Notamacropus eugenii: one gene and its partner. The protein of the gene in region 1 purifies or fractionates together with the protein of each later gene. This does not show direct contact. Links are inferred from orthologs where the notes say so. Each region holds a gene or a part of one and is shown in the gene's direction. Other genes may lie near its edges.

Evidence for each region.
Region 2: the proteins of SEC13 (region 1) and NUP98 purify together in Homo sapiens (affinity purification with mass spectrometry; 4 studies listed by BioGRID and IntAct, counting the BioPlex papers as one, with this or other methods). This does not show direct contact. The link is inferred for Notamacropus eugenii from reciprocal best matches to the Homo sapiens genes SEC13 and NUP98.

What each region holds. Positions count from the first base shown.
Region 1 is NC_092874.1:435,214,185-435,224,486, forward strand, and holds the start of SEC13 (protein SEC13 homolog), read left to right. Parts: upstream 1-4,715; 5' UTR 4,716-4,876; coding exon 4,877-4,879; intron 4,880-7,369; coding exon 7,370-7,414; intron 7,415-8,771; coding exon 8,772-8,887; intron 8,888-10,302. UniProt on the Homo sapiens protein: Functions as a component of the nuclear pore complex (NPC) and the COPII coat. At the endoplasmic reticulum, SEC13 is involved in the biogenesis of COPII-coated vesicles.
Region 2 is NC_092876.1:96,314,568-96,324,869, forward strand, and holds the start of NUP98 (nuclear pore complex protein Nup98-Nup96), read left to right. Parts: upstream 1-3,784; 5' UTR 3,785-3,930; intron 3,931-4,089; exon of another isoform or gene 4,090-4,216; intron 4,217-10,302. UniProt on the Homo sapiens protein: Plays a role in the nuclear pore complex (NPC) assembly and/or maintenance. NUP98 and NUP96 are involved in the bidirectional transport across the NPC. May anchor NUP153 and TPR to the NPC.

The sequences.
Region 1 (10,302 bases):
CCAACAGACAGTATTTGTGGGACCAGATGCCCCAGATTTATAGAGAGAATGTACTATTGCTACTTTTGTTACTATGCTAATTCACTAAATGTGTTTGCTTTGAACTAATCGCATCCTTTGATTAACTATTAAAAGGAAGTACATCAATGGGGGCTTCTTACTGTGGTTTTGAGTGGACATAGACTCAAATTGCATCTTGACTTTGAGGTAACTTTTCCAGGGAGTCAATGTCTCTAGATGATACAGTGGGAAATATAGTTGCTTTGGGTGAGAATCTATCCCAGAAGAGGGATGTGTTAAAATACAAACCTCAACACAGCTACTCCAAGGCCTTAGGACCAAAGACAAAATTTCTTAGAGCCAAAGCCATTATTGCACCAAAGGGCAATCCAAGGGCCTGATAATCAGCTAAGACCTCATTTACAAAGCCAAGGAGAGTCTAAGGGAAGTTAATTGAAGTGAATGAAATCCTGAAGAGTTTAGCACACAATTCATGGAACTAATTTTAGCCTAACTGAGATGAAGAGACCAGAAAAAAACTGCACAAAAACTGAAGAGAAACTAATTTGGAATACATAATAGGAGCAAACTTCTCAAATTTCCTAAGAACCCATGAGACATGATTATTCAAGAAATAATTAGATGCTATCCTGGGGGGAATGAAGCTAAAAATGAAAAATGGGAAAAGGGAAGATGCCAAAAGGTCACCGCTTGTTCCCAATATTTTTCTCTTTACAGATTCAAGATACAAGGATTAACTGGCAAAAGAACAATACAGCAATGAAAGAAACAGCCATCAAAATTAGGTTCGGAAGCTTCAAACTCACTTGGTTTTGCTTTTGTTTTGTTTTGTTTTGTTTTTACTGACTCTACTTTAATATTTAATGTAAATAGAGACTCAAAAGAGACTCTAGATAATGCCATGCAAGGTTGGCCCTATGCAGAGAAAGAACATCAATGTGTCACTCTGCCCCAAATCTCTCCAATCATAGCCTAAAATTTTATAGTATTGTGAATTGGTTAACACAATAATCCATTATCAGCCATTAACATTTTATTATTAATTAGTTTATCAATCATTTGACTGGGAAACTTTAAGTTTGAGGGAGAGAACATAGGGAAGGGTTTCCAATACCGAAAGTCAGATCCCATTAGGTAAGGGAAGCAAAATTCTCCAGGTTACTGACTACCAAACTAAGCCCTGCCCATCACCACACTCACATGTTAGCCCTGTTTCTGGCCATTCTCTTTACCTTGAACATATCATCACATTCCACCATCACCTACCTTGAGCTTCCTTTTCTTTCTACTCTCCTTTCACATTCCCTCTCTGCAGCTCCAAAATCAGCTTAAGGAAGAAGGTAAGAATTTCATGCAGGTCCATGGAAATCTTAGGGAACCTGGGGCAAGAAGATGTTTTAAAAAAGAATTATGGCTGAACCTTCACCATGACAGAGAGCTTAAAGCAATAAGTAAGGGGATGTGGGTGCCCATCCATTCAAGGATGCTGAGGCCCCCAAGGGTAGAGTCACAAACTACCAGAGTAGTGTCTCCAAACATCTTACCTATTCCTTCCCCTTCACTTGACCCAAGTTAGTCTTCTCACAAAATGAAAATTCACCTGAACCTTGGTATGTTCTGGTCCCTTGGTTGTAAAGAAGAGGACAATCAGAGTCCTAATTTTATGGAATCTCAGAAGGAAAGAACTGGAGATCTGGAAAGTAAAGATCTCTAATTCTATCCAAGGAAACATGTGCTGATTCTAGATCAGTAACCCCTAGATTCAGGAAAGTAATTCATCAGACTTGGTTGTTTTTGTCACGTCCAACTCTTTGGGGGTTTTCTTGGCAATGATATTGGAGTGATTTGTCATTTCCTTCTCCAGTTCATTTTACAAATGAGAAAACTGAGGCAAACTTGCCCAGGGCCACACAACTACTTGGTGTCTGAGGGCAGATTTGAACTCAGGAAGATGGGTCTTCCTGACTCCAGGCCTGGTGCTCTATCCACTGCACCACCCAACTGCCCCATTCATCAGACTACCTAGCTTGATTGCAATATAAATCATAGATTTCTAGTTAAAAGGAAATACAGAGGTCATTAGTCTGACTCTCTCTTTTTAAAAGAAGGGAACTGAGGCCCAAAGAGTTTTGATGACTTGGCCCTAGTTCACATGAACATCAAGTGGTAGATCTAGAATTTAAAGTCAGGTCTTCTAACTCTAAATCTGCTGCTATTTCTACTGTACCTTGCCTAAAGACATCTGAATTCCACTGGCCTAATTCTGTAAGAAATTCTGTGGTCTATAATTCTGTTTCCGGATGGGAATTGCCCACTAGGAAAAGGGTGCTCTATACAAACATCTAACCTGAGTTCTGAGCCACATATATTTCCCATTAATTAGTAAATTAATCCATTGTCATTTGCAGTTCTAAGTAAGTCCCTTTCTGAGTTTGGATTGGTGCAATTCAATTCTCTAGAGCCTGTTACTGAGTTTAGATTCCTGAAATTCAATTCTCTAAAGCCTGATCAGTCCTAGATGGTGAAATCAAGTTTCTTCAGTTTCAAGTCTAAGGACCAGATCCTGGACCATGGCTCAAGCGCACAATGGAGCCTAACCTGAAACAGCCTCGATGCCTTCATTACCTTAGCATCTCTAGCCAATTCTATTGAAGTAGGATCGTTCTCTTTTTTGAGGGGGGTGTGGGGGAAGGGGAAGGAGGGGACATCTCACCTCTCCCAGGACTTCTCTCAAAGTAGGATCTCTAATCTCAAGGCCTTGTATTATCCTTCCTCCAGCCTCATATTCCTCTTCAAGAATTTTTTCCTTCCGTATGGTCTGGTTTCTTCTCTCAAAATCTATTTCCTCTCAAGGCATAATCTCCTCTCTCAGATGCTCTTGTCCTCTCTTAATTCTTGCCCTTAGTCTCATTTTCCAATCCTATCCCACCCCAAAACATGCATACACATATACATGTATACCTCCCCTCCTTCACAGTCTATTAGCTGCGATCATCTCCTTGTCATTTCATTTTATGGTCGAGTGTAGTGGCCCAGTATTTCCAAGGTTCTAGGATTTTTTCACTTGTCAAATTTCACGTAAAGGTAGCTTCCTAAATTGAGAATGGCTTTGATGATGTAGGGGGTTAGAGCAGAGGTAGCAAACTCACCACCCAACTCCTGAGTTACAGTGAAAACGTTAAAATGCAACTGGGAAATATCTGACAAAATAAAAATACAATTCAACATATGTTAATTTGTGGTTGTCTAAATCAATATGCAGCCACAGATCCATTTCTATTTGAGTGTGATACTGCTGAGAATCCCCAAATATTTTAATGGTGCTCAAGGTGAGGTTGGAGGATCCCACAATATATTATAGTTATAATAAATAGCTTATCTCATTTGACCCTCAAGGACAACCCTGATAGGTAGGTACTATAATATTGTTAATTTATGAATGAAGAAACTGGATCTCAGAGATTAAATGATTTTCCCAGGATCCTAAAGTTAGTGTCTGAACTAGGATTTTGATCCTAAATCCTCCTGATTCTAATTCCAGTATACTATCCTGGCTGAATACTGCCTTACTTGTCATGTTTTAAGGGAAGGTGGGGCCTCCACCCACACCCACCCTCCCACAACACACTAACTAGACAGCAAGCTCTGAAAGGTCCCTTCTAGCCCTAAAATTCTAGGATCCTCCCTCTTTTTCTTATTTCTCCCTACAATCCTTCTCTCCCTTTTTTGTATCCCAAATCATCTCTAGCCCCCACGTGCACTGACTGAATAACAATATGTTCCTATTGTCGGAGAGTTTATGCCCCTTAAAGACAGGAAACCTGTGAAACTAGCTTCGTGAAAGCTCCCTGTGGGTACGGGCACGGCGCCTGGCACAAGGTCTTGACCTCCAGGAACTTAACACGCTGGAAGGAGCGGATCAGGAAAGGAAGGAGAGCTCGGGAGAAAGAAAAGAAGGAGTGAAAGAGGGAAAGGAGGGGGCAGCATGCTGCGGCTGGGGGAGAGCACGCGGGCCCGAGGCCCAAGGCCAGGTTTGCTTGGCTTTGCCCACGTCTCCCCTGGGTCTTCACCGTACCGCGAGGGGCGGGGGCGAAGCGGGTCCTTGTGGACCAGGAGCCGGCACCGAGGGCGCCCCGGCTGGAAGGGGTGAAGACCGCGGACCCGAGCGTGGCTGCCCAGCCACGTGTTGGCACGGGCTTCGGCCCTCCTCACAGCCCCGGGAGGGGGTGGCACGAGATGGGGCCACCCCGGCGTCCTTGGCCAGCACCAGGGCCCCGAGCTCGGCACCGGAGGCACGTGCCCCGCCGGTAGGTGGCACGTGCCCCGCCGGTAGCGGGCACTTAGAAGGGACGGTCTCAGGACCGGGGAAGGCCGCCACCTGGGCAGGGGCAGAACGTGGTGGAAAGAGCCCTGGAAGTGTCGGGAAGACCCGGGTTCTAATCCCGCGTCAGTCACTGCGTGACCTTAGGCAAGTCCCTTCATCTCTCTGAACTCAGTTTCCTCCCCGATAAAGTAAGAGGGGTGGTCTGGATGGACGTTAGGTTCCCTCCTCAGCTCTATCGATTATCCCATAAGAGCAGGAGAGAGGAATCAAGATGCTCGGGCCCGCGGCACGCGCCGAAATTTCTGCGCCTGCGCGGCAAGAGGGGCACCGACCTAAGATGCCTCGGAACGTTTGCGCGACGGCTGCGTTTCCTCTCCGGAAGTCTCCCGCGGCGGACAAGGCCGGATCCGTCCCCTCTACGCGCTGACAGCGGCACCGGAAGTGACCCGTCCTGGGCGCCGCCGCCGCCGCTGCAGCCGGGAGGAGTTGCCACGTCCGAAGCCGGGAACCACCGCCGCCTCCGCCGCCGCCATGGTAAGAGCCCTGTGCTCTGCGAGCCGGGCTAGGGGAGCCCCCGGCGCAGACCCGAGGCGGGAGACAGGGCACGGGTCCGAGGGACGCTGCTTCCCTCACACCCACCCACCCACCCCCGGGGCCCAGCCAGCCTGGCTTCTACCCCGGGCCGACCATGGGGGCGACTAGCGACCGGCCCCCCATCCCGGGCAGCGGCCTCCAGTTCGGTTCAGCCCCCCCGGGCCGCCCTGCTCTTCGCGGGTCACTTCGCCGGGGTGGGGCGGAGACGTGGCTGGTCGCCCCTTCGTGGAGCCGGCCTTAGTGCGGACCTCGGAGACCTGGAGGCCGCCCTGGGGTCGGAGTCCGCCTGTCAGCGGTCAAGGAGAGGCGGAAATGGGCCAGTCCCGGATTTGTGGGGAGGGGGAGGAGAAATCGCGGCCTCGGAGCTTTTGTGGCCCAAGTCCAGGCGCCCCCCGGGGTGGTGCCCGCTGTAAACGGCAGTTAGAGAGGTGTCCCAAAAGTCCTAGTGCAACCCGAGCCGAACTCGGGGGACACCGGCCAGAACCCAAGGGGGAGCGCTGTGCGTGACAAGGGAAGAGTCAGTTATAATGGACAGTAGGGGCGCACGGCGCCCCGAAATCACCCTGCCCTCGCAGGCGGTCCAGCTTTGGACTCCGAAGTCACCTCAAACCCTAATCGAGGATTCTGCTCCTGAGTGAGCCCTGCCACGTGGTGTTTGTCAAAGTCCAAACGATTGATTGGGTTAGGAAGCAGATCCCTTTTGTCATACTGATACCAGCTACGGTTCATCCTGAGGAACGTTGTACCTCCGAGGTGGGTTTCCCCCTGGAACTTTTAGGGGGAAAGTGGTCCTTGTTCTCTCCTCTCCCCGCATTCAGTTATGCTACAGAGGTTAGGAATAAACTCTGGACGTTCATAATTTAACCTTAACAGGCTTTCTGTAGAAGGTGGAATTTTTAATGACGACTTAAAGCAAGCCAGGAAGGTCGGTAGTAAAAGCAGAGAAGGGAGAGCATCCCAGGCATGGGGCAACAGCCAGAAGAGAAAGCCCAGAGCCAAGACAATTTATTTTATAGAATATGTGTTTTATTTGTTCTACAGTTCCCTCTTGTAAGCTTCAAGAGGTGGCCCCTACGAATGATTTTTTTTTTAATTTGGTAAACAAAAATATATTCACTCCATTCAGCTACTTGGTACTACCCCTCTATCCAGTCCTTGCCTTTACTGTTCTGAAGTGAAGAATACCAAATCTTGTAATATTTTTCTAGCGATTTAAACAGGAAAAGTTGAAATTGTTGAAGTTATAAAAAATATCCATATCACACCTAAATACATAATTTTACTCTTTTCATAGAATTATAATATTGGCCATGCTTCAGTGCTTCACGTGTTCATATTGGTAGTCCATTATGAATGGGCATTACCTCACCCTAAGTGAGTACCTGCATAGGGGCCAAGGTCTTCCAGTACATCCTGGGTCATCCTGACGAATATCTGGTCACTGGATCCAGACAGCTCTGGAGAAGTGAGGCTTGTGACCTGCACAGCCCTCCCTCCCTCAAAACAAAGTCAAGTGCAAGTCATGTCATCATTTCTCTGATGGCATGGTCTTCTTTGGCAACAGACAAACGTAACCCATTGATAATAATAATTGCTATATACGTAACACTTTGTGGTTACAAAGTGCTTTACACAGACTCTGCCACAAAGAATTTGCAGGGGAGTGCAAAATTCCATTCAATTCAGGAAGCATTTATTAAGAACTTGTGGGCCAGGCATTGTGTGGAACTAAGGATAAAAAGACAAAAAAAAAGAAAAAAGTTACTGCCCCTTGGAGCATACCTTTTTTTTTTTTAAGGGGAGGAGAAACAACATGCATGTAAATAGGCAAATGTAAAACACAAAGTAATTACAAATGAAGAGAATGCTGACAGCTTATAGGCTAATGCACATAAGGCAAGATGTCTCAAGCTCTGCAAGAGGCAGACTGCGCCCTTGGAATTCCCAGGAGGCCGAGCTCTCTTTTATTCTGTGAGGGTGGCCTGAGAAGGCTGCCTAGAGCGGTAGGATCTTCAGTTGCACTAGAACAATGAATAGAATTTACAAAGGCAGAAAACTATGGTAATAGCATCCGGAGCCCTAGCATCTAGTAGTCATCATAATCCATATGTGCTCTACAGACTACTTATCACACAGATATACTCCAGTGTTAGATGGATGACTTCACTCTGTCAGAAATGGTATGTTAAGTAGCAGTTCCAGGAGGATTGTGGCCCAAAATTGGAGAGTAAAGGGGTCTAATCCAATTTGTACAGAAAGTGCTGCAGAAGCTTAATGATGTAGAAAGGGACCATAGATTATAATTGTTGAAGTTTATACTGAGAAAATTTTGCAAGGATAGGAGACCATTAGATGGAAATAATGGATCGGGTTCCTGAAGAGGTTGCTTTATAATTGCCATTATTAATTTAATGTAATCTTTGGTTTTAGGTGTCGGTCATTAACACTGTGGATACCTCCCACGAGGACATGATTGTGAGTATTCCATTTAGCAATTACTTAAATCTGAAACTGACATTCCTGTGGGATGGCAGAGTTTTTATTTTCAATTACGCAGTTTTGATGTGTTTATAAATCAAAATGGCTTGGGTTTTTTTTTTTTGAGAATTTGCCAAACCTCTAGTATTTAGCCATTAGAAGACCACATCCAGCCTTTGTTAGAGTAACAAGTCCTCTTCGGAAATGCCCCTGTTGTTTGAGAGACTGTTGTGTCAGCATAGAGTAGGAGTCCTTAAGCATTTTTGTGTCATGGTCCCCTTTGGCAGTCGTCTGGTAAAGGAGCCTAGGGACCCCTTCTCAAAATAATACTTTTAAATGCATCAAATAAAATATGCAACATTACAAAGGAACCCAGTTATATTGAATTACAGGTGAAAGCTTACAAACTCAGGTTGAGAACTCCTGGTATAGAGGCAGTTGTTACTTTCCATCCTAATGTTCAACAGTTTGTTTACTGGGCCACAGAGTGATTGGCAGCTGGCTTTTCTTTTTGCAGATCTTCTTTTGAAAGTGTTTCACATCTTGAGTTGTTAAGAAGCAATTGTCAGAAAGGAGAAAATACAGCACTAAGACTTAGAGATCCAAATTTGGCCAGAACCTGAGGAAAACAAGGGATTGGGCCTTGATCTCCTAAAGAGGAATCAGAATACTTTCCTTTAATACTTTAGAGCTATCCTATGATCCAGCTTCAGTAGGAATTTGGAAAGTAAATGACTGGGCAGAATGTTAGTATGAAATAAGTAAGCTCAATTAGTCTAATAAACCTAGTCATTACAGGAAGCAGAAAGTTGCTTGAAATTCCTGTGGTCCAAATCAACAGTGCAGCCAGTGTATGTGGTAAAGGTATCTGAAATATTTTCTGGGAAAAGAACAGCAGAGGTATATGGGTGGTTAAGATTGTGGGAAGAAGGAATAAAAGAACAATTATTGCACATTTAGAATTTACGTCCTGTGTGCTCGATACAGATACTGGGGATACAGAAGTGAACAAGACAGGGTCTGCCCTCCAGGAGCTTACCTGTGGTGGGGTCGTGATACATACTAAGAAAATACAACTATGTATTCAACTGACAAGGTGTAAAGGGGACTTTAAATATTTAACACTAGCTATGTCTTTAACTTATTTTCTCAATTTAAGAACATTTTATATTGGAGAACACAACTTATAATCTTCACGTAGTATAAACTGACTTCCTTTCTTCAGTTTTCTCTGGGACTGAATTGACTTGAGCAGTGTTTTTGTTTTTTTCAAATTTACAATCCCTGCCTTAGTAATAATGGGTGTGAGCCTCTGGAGTCTACAAATCTCCTGATTTCTCTCTTCCATGTTCAGCATGATGCCCAGATGGACTATTATGGCACCCGCTTGGCCACCTGCTCGTCAGATAGATCTGTCAAAATCTTTGATGTGCGGAATGGGGGTCAGATTCTCATTGCCGACCTGAGGGGGTGAGTATATCCAACATTGAGAAAATTCTAGGGGGAATAATTTTGCTGCTTGTATCTTATGCAGTAGACTTTGGAAAATGAAGTAACAATCCAGATTTTATCAGAATCTTATGTGTTTTTCAGAGAGGATGGAGAGGAGGCCATTATCCTACAGAGCATATCTCTGCCTTTAAAAGCATTGTTTTGCCCAAAGTAATTCCAGCATTAGTTGAACCTCTTTAAAGGAAATGGCCTCATTGGAATAATGTCCATAACTCAATTAATTCCTCTGATTGATAAAGTAGGAGTTAGTCAGTTGGGGAAAATGAGGCACAAAGAAATTGGATAATGTGACTTCAGACAATTGAGGAGGGGAAGGAGGAGGGTTCTTGGTTTTCTGAATTGTAATTGAAATTCTAAGTTCGTAATTTTTAAAAATACAAGCAAAACAAAGTACCATTGATAGACTGCTAGGACCAGATCTTGTAAATTCTCTAGTCTTCCCCTTCATTGAATTGTATTTATCAGTGGTAGTAAAAATCAATCTAGTCGTAGCTTAATTATCAGTTCTTTTACTGTGCTCACATCGAGCTATTAACCCAATAAACCAAAAGGAGAACATCCGCCTGGGATTTGAAACCCTCTGGTACAGGAGAATGTAGAGACTGATAAGGAGGAGGTTGGCCTCTCTTTGGGTCAAAGCAGTAGAACCTATGAGACATTGTGGCAATCTGGTTTAATAAGACATGTGTTTAATAAGAATGTATGTGTAGAACTCATGTAAGATTGCAAACTGTCTCAGGGAGGGATGGGAAGAAAATTTAAAACTTATGGAAGTGACTGTAAAAAACTGAAACCAAATTAGTTAAATTTTTTAAAAAAATAATACATATGCTATATTTTAAACACTGAAGGTGCAAAGACAGAAGTGAAACAATCTGCCCTCCAAGGCTTTAGATACAGCATATATACTGATAAGTAAAGACTAGACAGGAGGGAGAGAGCATTGACAACCAGGAGGGCTGGAGAAGGCTGCACAGAGAAGACCCTGGGATGAGGCCAGAAGGGAAGGACAGGTTATGAGGAGCACAGATGAGGGCATGTTATACCCCACACATGAGAGGCAGCCCTCTGTGCAAAGGCATGGCATGGAAACAGCATTCCACCAAGATCGGTGAACAGAAGGTTATCCAGGAACATCTACCCTATGGAGGGAAGTAATATGAAAAAAGGCTGCCAGTCTGTTGGGGCCAGATTGTGGAAGACCTTAAAGGCCAAGGGGAGGAGTTTTTATTTTATCCAAGAGATGATGGAAAGCCACTGAAGATTTTTGAATAAGTAAGTAGCGTGGTCAGACCTTAGGAGTATGATTTTGCCAGCCACATTTAGTATGAGTTAGAGAGGAGAGAGACTGAAAAGAAGCGCCATTTGGGAGA
Region 2 (10,302 bases), on another chromosome or scaffold:
TTCTAGGTATGTGACCCTAGGAAAGTCTTTTAACTTCTACCTGTTTTCTCATTGGTAAAATAGGGATTATAATAGCACCTAATCCCCATGATTGTTATGAAGATGAAATATTTGTAAGGCACTTTGGAAACATACCTTATGTAAATACTAATTATTACCAGTATCTGCTTTAGCAATCTCATTTACTCTCATAGCTTCCACTTCTACCTCTGTGCAGATGACTCAAGTCTACAGAGCTCAGGTTCTAGCTTTTCTTCTGAACTCCAGAATAGTATTCCAGCTGCCTTCCAGACTATTCTACCTTGATGCTCCATCTACACTTCAAATTCAACCTGCCCCAAATTGAGCTCATCCTTTTCTAAACTCCCCATTTTCTAGGAAAACCCTAGCCAGCTTTCACTTCATTCCCTCCTCTCAGATCACCTACAGACCCTATGTATGAGACTTCTGCTCCAAAGTCTGCTCTCTTAATTGGTGACTGGACCTCCTGGACTACAAGATTCAGGAAAGCCCCAGCCATGATTCACTTCACTCTCTCCTCCCAATTCCTGTTCAGTAAGGAAGAACCATGATTAAATCTGCTCTGCCATTTTTCTGTTTGGGGAATGTCAATCTACTCCCTAGAGTCCCCACTCACCATCTTCTTAACTTTCTGAACCAAAGTGTTCCAGCCTGGCTACCACCCTTGGAATGTAAGCTCCCTGAGGACTGTCATTGCTTTTGTATTTGTACCCTTGGTGCTTACCAAAATGCTTGGCACTTTAACAAAAGCCTTAACCAATGGTTTTTTTTTTTAATTGATTCAATTCATTCATTCCTCTTGATATTCACTGTTTCCCATTTTCAAAACTTATGTGTTAACTTTGATCCTTTCCTCCTTTTTATTTCCCAAATCCAGTTTAGTTAGGCACCATGGTGTAATCAATACGGAGCCCACTTTCGCATCAGGAACACTTAAATTCAAGCCTACCCTCTGACACAAACTAACTGTGTGGCCCTGTGAAGTTATTTGACTTCTCAGTGTTCCAGGCAGCTTTCTAAGACTATATGTAAGTTGTGGAACAATTCCCAGATCTACATAGGTAAGGGCAGATTCCTCCTAACTGGCTAAATTTCTTATCCCAATGAAATCCTAAGTCTTGACTCCCTCCCTCCCTTCAAATCTAATTATTATCAAGTCCTGATGATTCTATCTGCACATTTCTTAAACTTATTCTCCTTTCTCTATTTCTTTTGCCATTATTCCAGTAGTGGTCCCCATTGCTACCCTCCAGGACTATTTATTAAACACTCTCACCCCATGCTATTTCCAGAATAACAATTCTATACAGAAAATCTCCCCAGATATGTTCAGTGGCTACATATTGCCTCCCAAGTTCAAACCCCTCCACAATTTGAGTGTAACCATACCTTTCTAACCTGATGTCATATTAATTTCTATGTTCCTGCCATCCTGGATGAGTCTGCTTTGCAAACACACACTATGCTCTCTCCTTGTTCATTATGTCTGGCATGCCCTGTCATCCCCTCTTTATTTAATTCTTAGCTAGCCCCCAAAACCTAATTCTAAAGCCATACCTCTTCCAAGAAGATCAACCTTGATCAACCTGATTTCCCAGCAGACTTTACATAACATATTGTTTTGTAGTTCTCTAATTCATTTATCATGTAATTAACATTACAGTTTGGAATCTTAACTCTCTTGTAGACCTGATTTTGTCTTCCTGAGCCAACAAATATTTCTTGAATGTATAGAAGATACAGTACTATTCTTGCATTCAGGAAGACCTTGCATTCAGATAATTACTCGCTGGGCAACTTGACTACCAAACTGAAGGTCTACGGAGTTGTGGTGACTTCATTGTTGTATGCCTGTGAAACAGTCTACCAGTGCCATGCCTGAAAACTGAATTGCTTCCAAGTGAGCTGTCTTAGGAAGATTCTGAGGATCACCAGGCAGAATAAGGTACCAGACAGAAGTCCTTGCTTGAGCTGAACTACCAAGCATTCAAACTATGCTTCAGAGAGCACAACTCTGATGGGCTGGCCTTATTGTTCAAATGTAAAATGTAGGGTTGCCAAAAAGACTATTTTATGGAGAATTCACACGAGGCAGGCGATCGCATGGTGATCAGAAGAAGGGATACAAGGACACTCTCAAGGTCTCTCTCAAGAACTATGCAACATGGGAGACATTGGCACAGGACTGCTCAACATGGCGTGCCCACATCAGAAAGGGTGTTGTGCTCTATGAGCAAAGCAGAATTGAGACAGCACAAAGGAAACATAGGATGCACAAATTTGGAGTAGCCACCCCAAATATCCACATGGACTATTTGTGCCCAATCTGTGGTAGAGCATTCCAAGCTCATATTGGTCTGATCAGCCATAGTCAGACCCACTGAAACTTCACTTTATCATGGTGATGTCATTTTGGTCCTTTTTGAGAATGAAGGACAACAACCAACCAACCAACCAGCTGGGCAAGTCACAACTCTGTGAGCCTTAGTTTTCATATCTGTATAGTGGGAATAACAGTACTTACCTCACAGGATTCTCGTGAGGCCAAAATGAGATAAAATATATTTTGCAAAAGGACTTAGAAAACCTTAAAGCATTAGGTACATGTGAGCTATTGAATGAACAAATTGCACTATGTGTGAATGGGATGGGGTCGGAAATACACACACTGATTGAGGGTTCCTCTTGGGGAGGATAGGCTGGGTGCCCCAAATCTTTTCAATTCCAAGACCTTGTAGATGCCCTCATACATTCCAGGGTAGGTGCTTGGCACACAGTAAACCCTTAATGTTTGTCCACATGGGTTGTGCCTCACATCTGTCCTCTGAGTCTGATTGAAGTAGTTGAGGAATGGGGGTGGGGGTGGAGTTTCAGGGAGATTTTTTCAGTTAGAAGCAGCACTTGAGTATGTCGTGGGGACCCCTTGGTGTGAGAGGATGCTCCCTGTTCCCTTTCTTGATTCCTTCGTGACCCTGGGCGGGGTGGTGGTGAGTATTCCCGGGATGGGTTTATGCCAGGAACCACAAATTTTGGGCACTGTATGGAGAAGGCTCGGTGGTGCTGGGGGGAGAGAGGAATGAGGAAGGAGAAAAGGAAAAATAAAGGAACTGGCCCCCAGCGCCGCATCCCCACGCCTCAGTGAGGCGGGGCTAGTAAATTGTCCTAGGCAACGCACATGGTAACAGCCTAGGAAGTCGTGGGGGAATGGAAACGGGTAGGCTTTAGCTGCTAAGAAGAACTTTCCCAGAAGCCCCCGCAGCAAAGGCTGAGTTGCCATGCCATCCGATGTGCTCTTCCTTCTGATTGGTCGACGGAGAGACTGTACTGGCTCCCTCCGCCAACCCAACCTAAGATTGCAACAAGGCGGGGCCTGAAGGCGACATAATTTTCCCGCCCCCTCCCCGCTCAGGTTCTAGGTTCCCTTCTGTGACGCAAGGGTGCATTCCCAGCCAATCGTAATGCGGTGACTGAGAAGGGCGGGACTACTCCCTCCCTTCCTCGCTCCTTCACTCGCTATTCAACCCTTTTCTTTCCCCATCCCCAGCCCATTTCCTTCCCCCCACCCCCATCTCTTCCCCATATCCCTTCGTCCTCATTTCTTTTGCCCTTAACCCGCCCCCACCCTCCAAGTTCGATCCACGTTCGGTTTCAAACGACACCTTGGCCAATGAGCATCGGGGCCACCGTCGACTGGCGGCCACGACGGCCAATGCCAGCGCGGAGAGAAAGAAGCGCTCGCGGCGCGCTTATGACGACAACCGGCGTGTGACGCAGTCGGACATCGCGCACAGAGCGGCCCGGGCGGCGGCGGGGGCGGCGGCGGTTTCGTGGCGGCCGCGCGCGTTCCGAGCGGCGGCGGCGGGAGGAGGACGATTTTTAGTCCCTTCGTACGGGGGACGCAGCCCTTCGGTAAGTAAGCGGCGACGGTGGCCGGCCAGGTGCGTGGCTCCGAGACGAGGACAGGGCTGGGGCCGAGCTGAGTTGAGGGCCGCCCCTTCCTTGGGAGGAGAGGCCGCGCGCTCCCTTCGGTCCGTACGGCGGGGGCGGGGCCCACGACCCTCTGACCCCGCGACCCAGTATCTCGGCTTGGGGGAGGAGCTGGGGCTGCCTCGCGGGAGAGGGTTTGGGGATTGGTGTGGACGGCCCGCGCCTGGGAGTACCCTGGTTTCGGGACCTAGACGTAGGATTTCTGGAGGTAGCTCTTACCGGGTTTGTTGCGGGTGAGATGGGGCATCTTTTATGCTGCAGATCTTCCGTACCTAGGTTTTCCTGGGTAAAGATTTTAGGGTAGGATTGGGGATTAGGGACCTATGTTCTTTGAGGGTGGAACGCAGCGAGGGCAAAGTCGGCTGAAGTAAGACTTCTGGGTTTTTATCCTTTTATTTTACAAATACTGATTCGGTACCCGCTGTGTCGAGTACTGCCCCGTCCTGAAAGGGGATTTAAAGAGCTTAAGACCTAGGACCCAAACATCTTGGAGTGGACAGTCTGTCTGGTGGTGCTGCTTTTAATTTCTCTTCTAGGAAGTAGAAGGTTGAGATGCTGCTTCATGTGGGAAGTTAACATCAGGAATTTATAAGAGGTTCTTTGCTTTCTTACAGACACTTGGTTTTTCTTTTTTAACGTTATAAGGACCATAATTTAAGAATACTTAGAAGTAACAAGCTGAATCAGTTAACTCAGTACATATTTTTCGAATTAGAAAGCAAAGAAAATAGAGATGGTAGGATGAAAATGTTAATTCCAAAATAAAAGTATAGTATGGGGGGAGAGGGAAATCAGTTGACTGGACTGGTCCTTCTGGTGTTAATGACTCTGGAGTGCTTATTAGGTACCTTTCCTGTTATCCTGATTTCCTGTTTTCTGTTTTTGATTTAAAGGCAGGATAGCCTGTCACTACAAACACAATTCAGAGCTGGGGGAGGAACCTTAGACTCATAGAATGTTAAAGGTTAAGGGAAAATTAACAGGAAACTCTTCATTGTGCCCCTTGGGGAGGGCCCAGATTAGTGGCCTTCACAAAGTGAGTCCATGTCAGAGCCAAGACAAGAACTGAGACGATATGCCTCCCAGTCCAGAACACTTTACTGCTACACTGAATTTATCCTGATGGAACTCTCCTATTCTGCCCATATTGAGATTTTGCTTCTGGTGTTAGAACATTATGTGACCACTTTAGTAGACAGAGATAAGTATTCTTTAGATGTTGAAGATCTCAGGGAGACATTTCAGTTTAGCATGAATGAATGAATAAGTGTTTATTATGTGCCAAGCTTTGTAGTAGATGTCTAGTATGGCAGTAAATGTTCTTCCCAGGCCTAGTTGTATCCTTATCTAGTTTTAAAACCAGATTTAGAACTGATTTCAAGTAACTGACCATTTAGTGAAGAACAGTGAGATACATGAGGGTGGGATGAGGGGGTCAATAAAATTGCAAGTAATTACCTAAATTTGCTTGATGTAGTGGGAAAAGTTCTAGGTTGGTATGCTGGGGATCTGGCTCACCTTCTGTGTGATTTTTGGATAATTTACTTCCCCTCTTCAGGTCTCCTCTTCCATTTCAGTAAAATAGGGAAGTGGTACTATATTATCTTTAAGTGTCTTTTCCAGTTTTGACATTCTGTTATTCCAGGTTTGATATGTAAAACCACTATGGCTAATTGGATAAAATAGAAACATGTTCTTTTTAAAGATAGAATTGCTAAGTGATTGAATGTATACTGGGAATAGAAAACAGGAAATAAGCGTGAAATTTAGAAAACAAATATAAGAATAATATTTCATCCACTCTGGGAGACAAGACTAAGGAATGTTGGTCCTTCTCTGCAGCAGGATTCATAGTACTGTATTGTACATGATTTAGACATAAAGGGTGATACTGTAAGTAAATTAGGAGACCAAGAGACCAAGAAATAGTTTACTTCTCAGATCTGTGGAGAAGGGAAGAATTTATGACCAAATGAGATAAGACGGCATTACGAGTTGTAAAATGGATAATTTTGGTTATATTGGATTAAAAAGTTTTTACATAAAAAAACAAACAAACAATGCATAGTACTGTTATGTAGTAGAGGTTCCTGACTACCTGTGAGAGTTTGTATTTTCTTTGCATGAAGAATTAACTTAAGGGAGAAAGAAGGAGCAATAACCTTTCAGTGTGAGTAGTCTGTCATTGAATCTCAAGGGAATTTTCATGGGACTTCTGAATAACGTTGCTCATATTGGTTGTGCTGTCTCGTTGTTTACATTTGTTTACATGTTTATTGGTGTGTCTTTTGTGGGTAAGGGCTTGTTTATTGGATTAAGATAACTAGGTTTTTCAAAGCCAGCAAACCCTGAAAAGAAGACAATATGGTGTTTCTCTTAATTTAATTTTGTAAATTTTAATTTAATAGAACCTAAACAGTTGTATAATTATTCCTTTGAGCTTTTCATTTGAGAGTCCATAAAATTGAATTAAAGTTTATTCCGGCCTTGAATGAGTCACTTTGTCACTTTGCTTATGTTTAGATGACAAAGCAGAAATGGAAACAGTATTTGGGGAGTAGAAGAAAACTGGTAAAAACTAAATGTCAGTTAAAAAGTGGACATTCTATCTGTGCTGTGGAATGTAAATAAACTGTACCTTTGTATGTGGCAGAGTTAATGCTAACACTACTGATTGCCGGAATGATTGTGGAATACACGCACACACACACACACACGCGCATTCACATTCACACACATTCACACACATTGTAAAATAGTTCTTAATTGTCAGTGTCAACCCCTTGTAGGATGATATTGTACCAAGTGATGTCTTATAGAGAGCCTGGCACACCATTAGAACACCCAGCTCCTAGGGTACTTATTGGGGTTTTATGAAGAGCCAACTCTCCTGACATCTTGAAAGGTTTAGAATAGAATACACAGGGGATCCATTTTATTTTCTTTAAAATTTAAAGTTTAAATCTAAAGGAATGAGAGGATGATAAATAATATTTTCTATAATAAAAGAATATATGTACTAGCATTTGCTTCATGTATTCTATGACCTATCTACATTGACCTTTCTGCCCATGACGCTCCATTTCCCCAGGATGCCTTTTCTGATCTCTCTCTCTGCTAATGTCATTCTTCTGGGTTACCTTCTATTTCTACTCTTGTGGGAGGGGGAATTAGCATTTATACAGTACTATGTGCCAGGCATCGTGCTGGATGTTCACTTGATCTTCACAACAACCCTGGGAGGTAGATACTGTTATTATCCCCATTTTACAGTTGAAAAAATGGGCAAACAGAAGTTGTGGCTTACCCAGGGTCATACAGCTAATAAGGATCTGAGGCTAAATTTGAACTTGGGTCTTGTTTCCATGTCCAGCAGTCTATCCACTGTGCTGTCAACCCATTCTAGTATAGAGTTGTATCTACACAGTTGTTTGCATGTTGTCTCCCACTTTAGATTGTGATTTCCCTGAGATCAGAACCTGTTTTTGCCTTTCTTTGTACGTAGTAATTGCTTAATGTTTATTTATTATTTCCAGTCATGTCTTACCAAACTACAGCCCTAGGTTACTGGGATCATCAGCCTCCTTCGCTTCTCATCATGCGCTGCTGAATGGAAGTGGAGAAAGTCACAAAACTATGCTAGCTGGGTCTCTGTGCTAACTATGTATCTGTTATCCAGTCTCACCTGAGCCTTCACTGCAGCAAGGCTACTCTCTACTTCCTGATTGATCCTCTATCCCACTGAACATTGATAATTTTAAAATTATACATACACATACATGCACATTCACAAAAAATTACCTGAATTCCCTTTCTCCCAATTGAGAACAAAAGAAAACAAAAACTGCTGTTACAAATGTGCAAAAAAAATTTATGCATTGGCCATGTCCAGAAAATTTGTCTGTTTCTTTCTGAGTCCTGTACCTCTCAGGAGGTAGAGAGCATCTTTCATCATTAGTCTTTGAGAATTATGGTTGGTCATTATATGGATCCTATACCCTAGTTCTTTCAGCATTGATCATCTTTACCACGTTGTTATCACTGTAGAAAATTGTTCTGATTCTGTTCATTTCACTCTGCATCAGTTCATAGAAATCTTTCCAGATTTCTCTGAAACCATCCTTTTCATTATTTATTTTGGCACAGTTGTATTTATTCCAGCACATAACTTGTTCAGCCATTCACCAATTTATGGACACCTTCTTAGATTCCCATTCTTTCACACTTCAAAAAGACATAAATATTTTTGTACATCTTTAGTTGAATTTGTTTTGCTTAGGAACGATCCCTCCCTTAATCTGCCTACCCTCTTAATTCACTGATCTTCATTCTCTTTCCTTCCTACTTATATACCAAATGTAGTTTTGTCCTCAAGTGCATATGTATATTCTTCATTCTTGAGGCAGCTATGTTCCTAGGCAGCAGTGCATAGGACACTAAGCAGGGAGTCAGGAAGACTCAAGTTCAAATTGTGGTCTTGGGCATACTTCTGTCGCCTCAGTCTCTGTAACTGTAAAATAATGGGGATAATAATAGCACCTACTTCTCAGGGTTGTTTTGAAGATAAAATACAATATTTGTCTGGCAAATAGCAGTCACTTATTAAATCCTTCCCTTCCCACTTCCTTTCACCAGAATAGAGTGAGGTTCCAGGGTCAACCACTCCTTCCCCCTCCCTTTCACACACTTCCTTGTTTATATGGCTATCTTAGATTATGTGGGATAATTTTTCTGAAACACATGTCCCCTAATGTATATTTTTTCCCCTCTTTTTTTCCATTTTTGAGATCAAGACATAACAGAACCATTCCCAGTCCTTGTCTAATTGGACTCCTTTTGTGATCCCAGATGATGCTAGGGATAGAGGGGACATATGTATCATGTCCCCATATTTGAATGTAAGTGGTTTATCTTTGTTTAGTCCCTTACGATAGTTTATTTGTGTTTACCTCTTATATTTCTCTTAACTTCTGCATTGGAACTTTCTAGTTTCAGTGAAACTATTCTTTCGATCAAGAATGCTTGGAAGCCATCTGTTTCATTAAAAGTCCATTCCTACCCTTCCTTCTGTTGCCCCCCCCCCCCCCCCAAGAAAACGATTAAGCTCAGTTTTCTGAGAGAGTTATTCTTGGTTGTTTTCATATATCCTTTGCCTTCTGGAATATTGGATCAAAGGTCTCTGCTTCTTTACATGTGGATTCTAAATCATGTATGAGCCCTGATTGTGGCTACTCAGTACTTGAATTCTTTCTTTGACCTGAAAGCTTTGGATTTTGGCTATAATATTCCTAGGAGTTTTCATTTAAGAGTTTCTTTTGGAGGAGGTAGCTAGCATGTATTTTCTATCTCTGTTTTGCCCTTTGGTCCTAAGAAATCTGGGCAATTTTGTTGGTTTGTTTTTAAGATTACTTAAAATACGTTTAGGCTCTTTCTCTCACCTTTACCCCTACCCCGTAACTTTAAGGTAGTCCATTTATTTTAAATATTTTTCTCCTCCATCCATTCCCCAGGCATGTTATTTTTGGCTGTGAAATACCTTAAATTTTCTTGCATATTTTTAATCTTTTGACTTTTAATATATCTTTTCTTTTCCCTATCCACTTAGGGTATCATACCCTAACTTGCATTTGCTTTGCTCAAAGGAATGTAATTTTGATCCCCCAAAACTTTTCTTAAGGACCAGACCTTAAACCTAAATCACTCTAACCCTTACTGATTGACCAACAATTGCTCTTTGTCAAGGACCTTGACATCAGCGAGGTGATGATGCCATGACATGCAAGTGAACTGGATTTAAGAGAGGGAGGGCTGTGCAAAGTCACCAGTCTCACTTTCTTCTCCAGAGCTATCTGGGTTCAGTGGCCAGATATGGATCAAGACAACTGGAGATGGCTCAGGATCCAGTGGGGGACTTTGGGCTTTTCAAGCTAAGGTCTTTAACAGGTCTCAGTTTCACTGAGGCAGTGCCCATTCAGTGATTAAGGCTAGGTAAGAAATGAGGCAAAGAATGGCCTTTTTGCCTAGTCAAAAACAAACAAACTGCGCATCTGGGAGGGGAAGACCTCAGGGGTTTTGGCCAAAACAGAAATAATTGTTATTTATATTCATTCTGAGCTAATCAGGGCCCAAACTGTGACCAGGTTAGGGGCTGGCCTAGGACTTTTGTTGGCCAACCCCTTCCCTTTGGGCAGAGAGCACCCACAAAAGGCTAAGGTCCAATGCATCCAGGGCCATTTCTGGTGATCCTGATATCTGTATCTACCTACCCATTGGACCTAGATGGCTTCAGAGGAA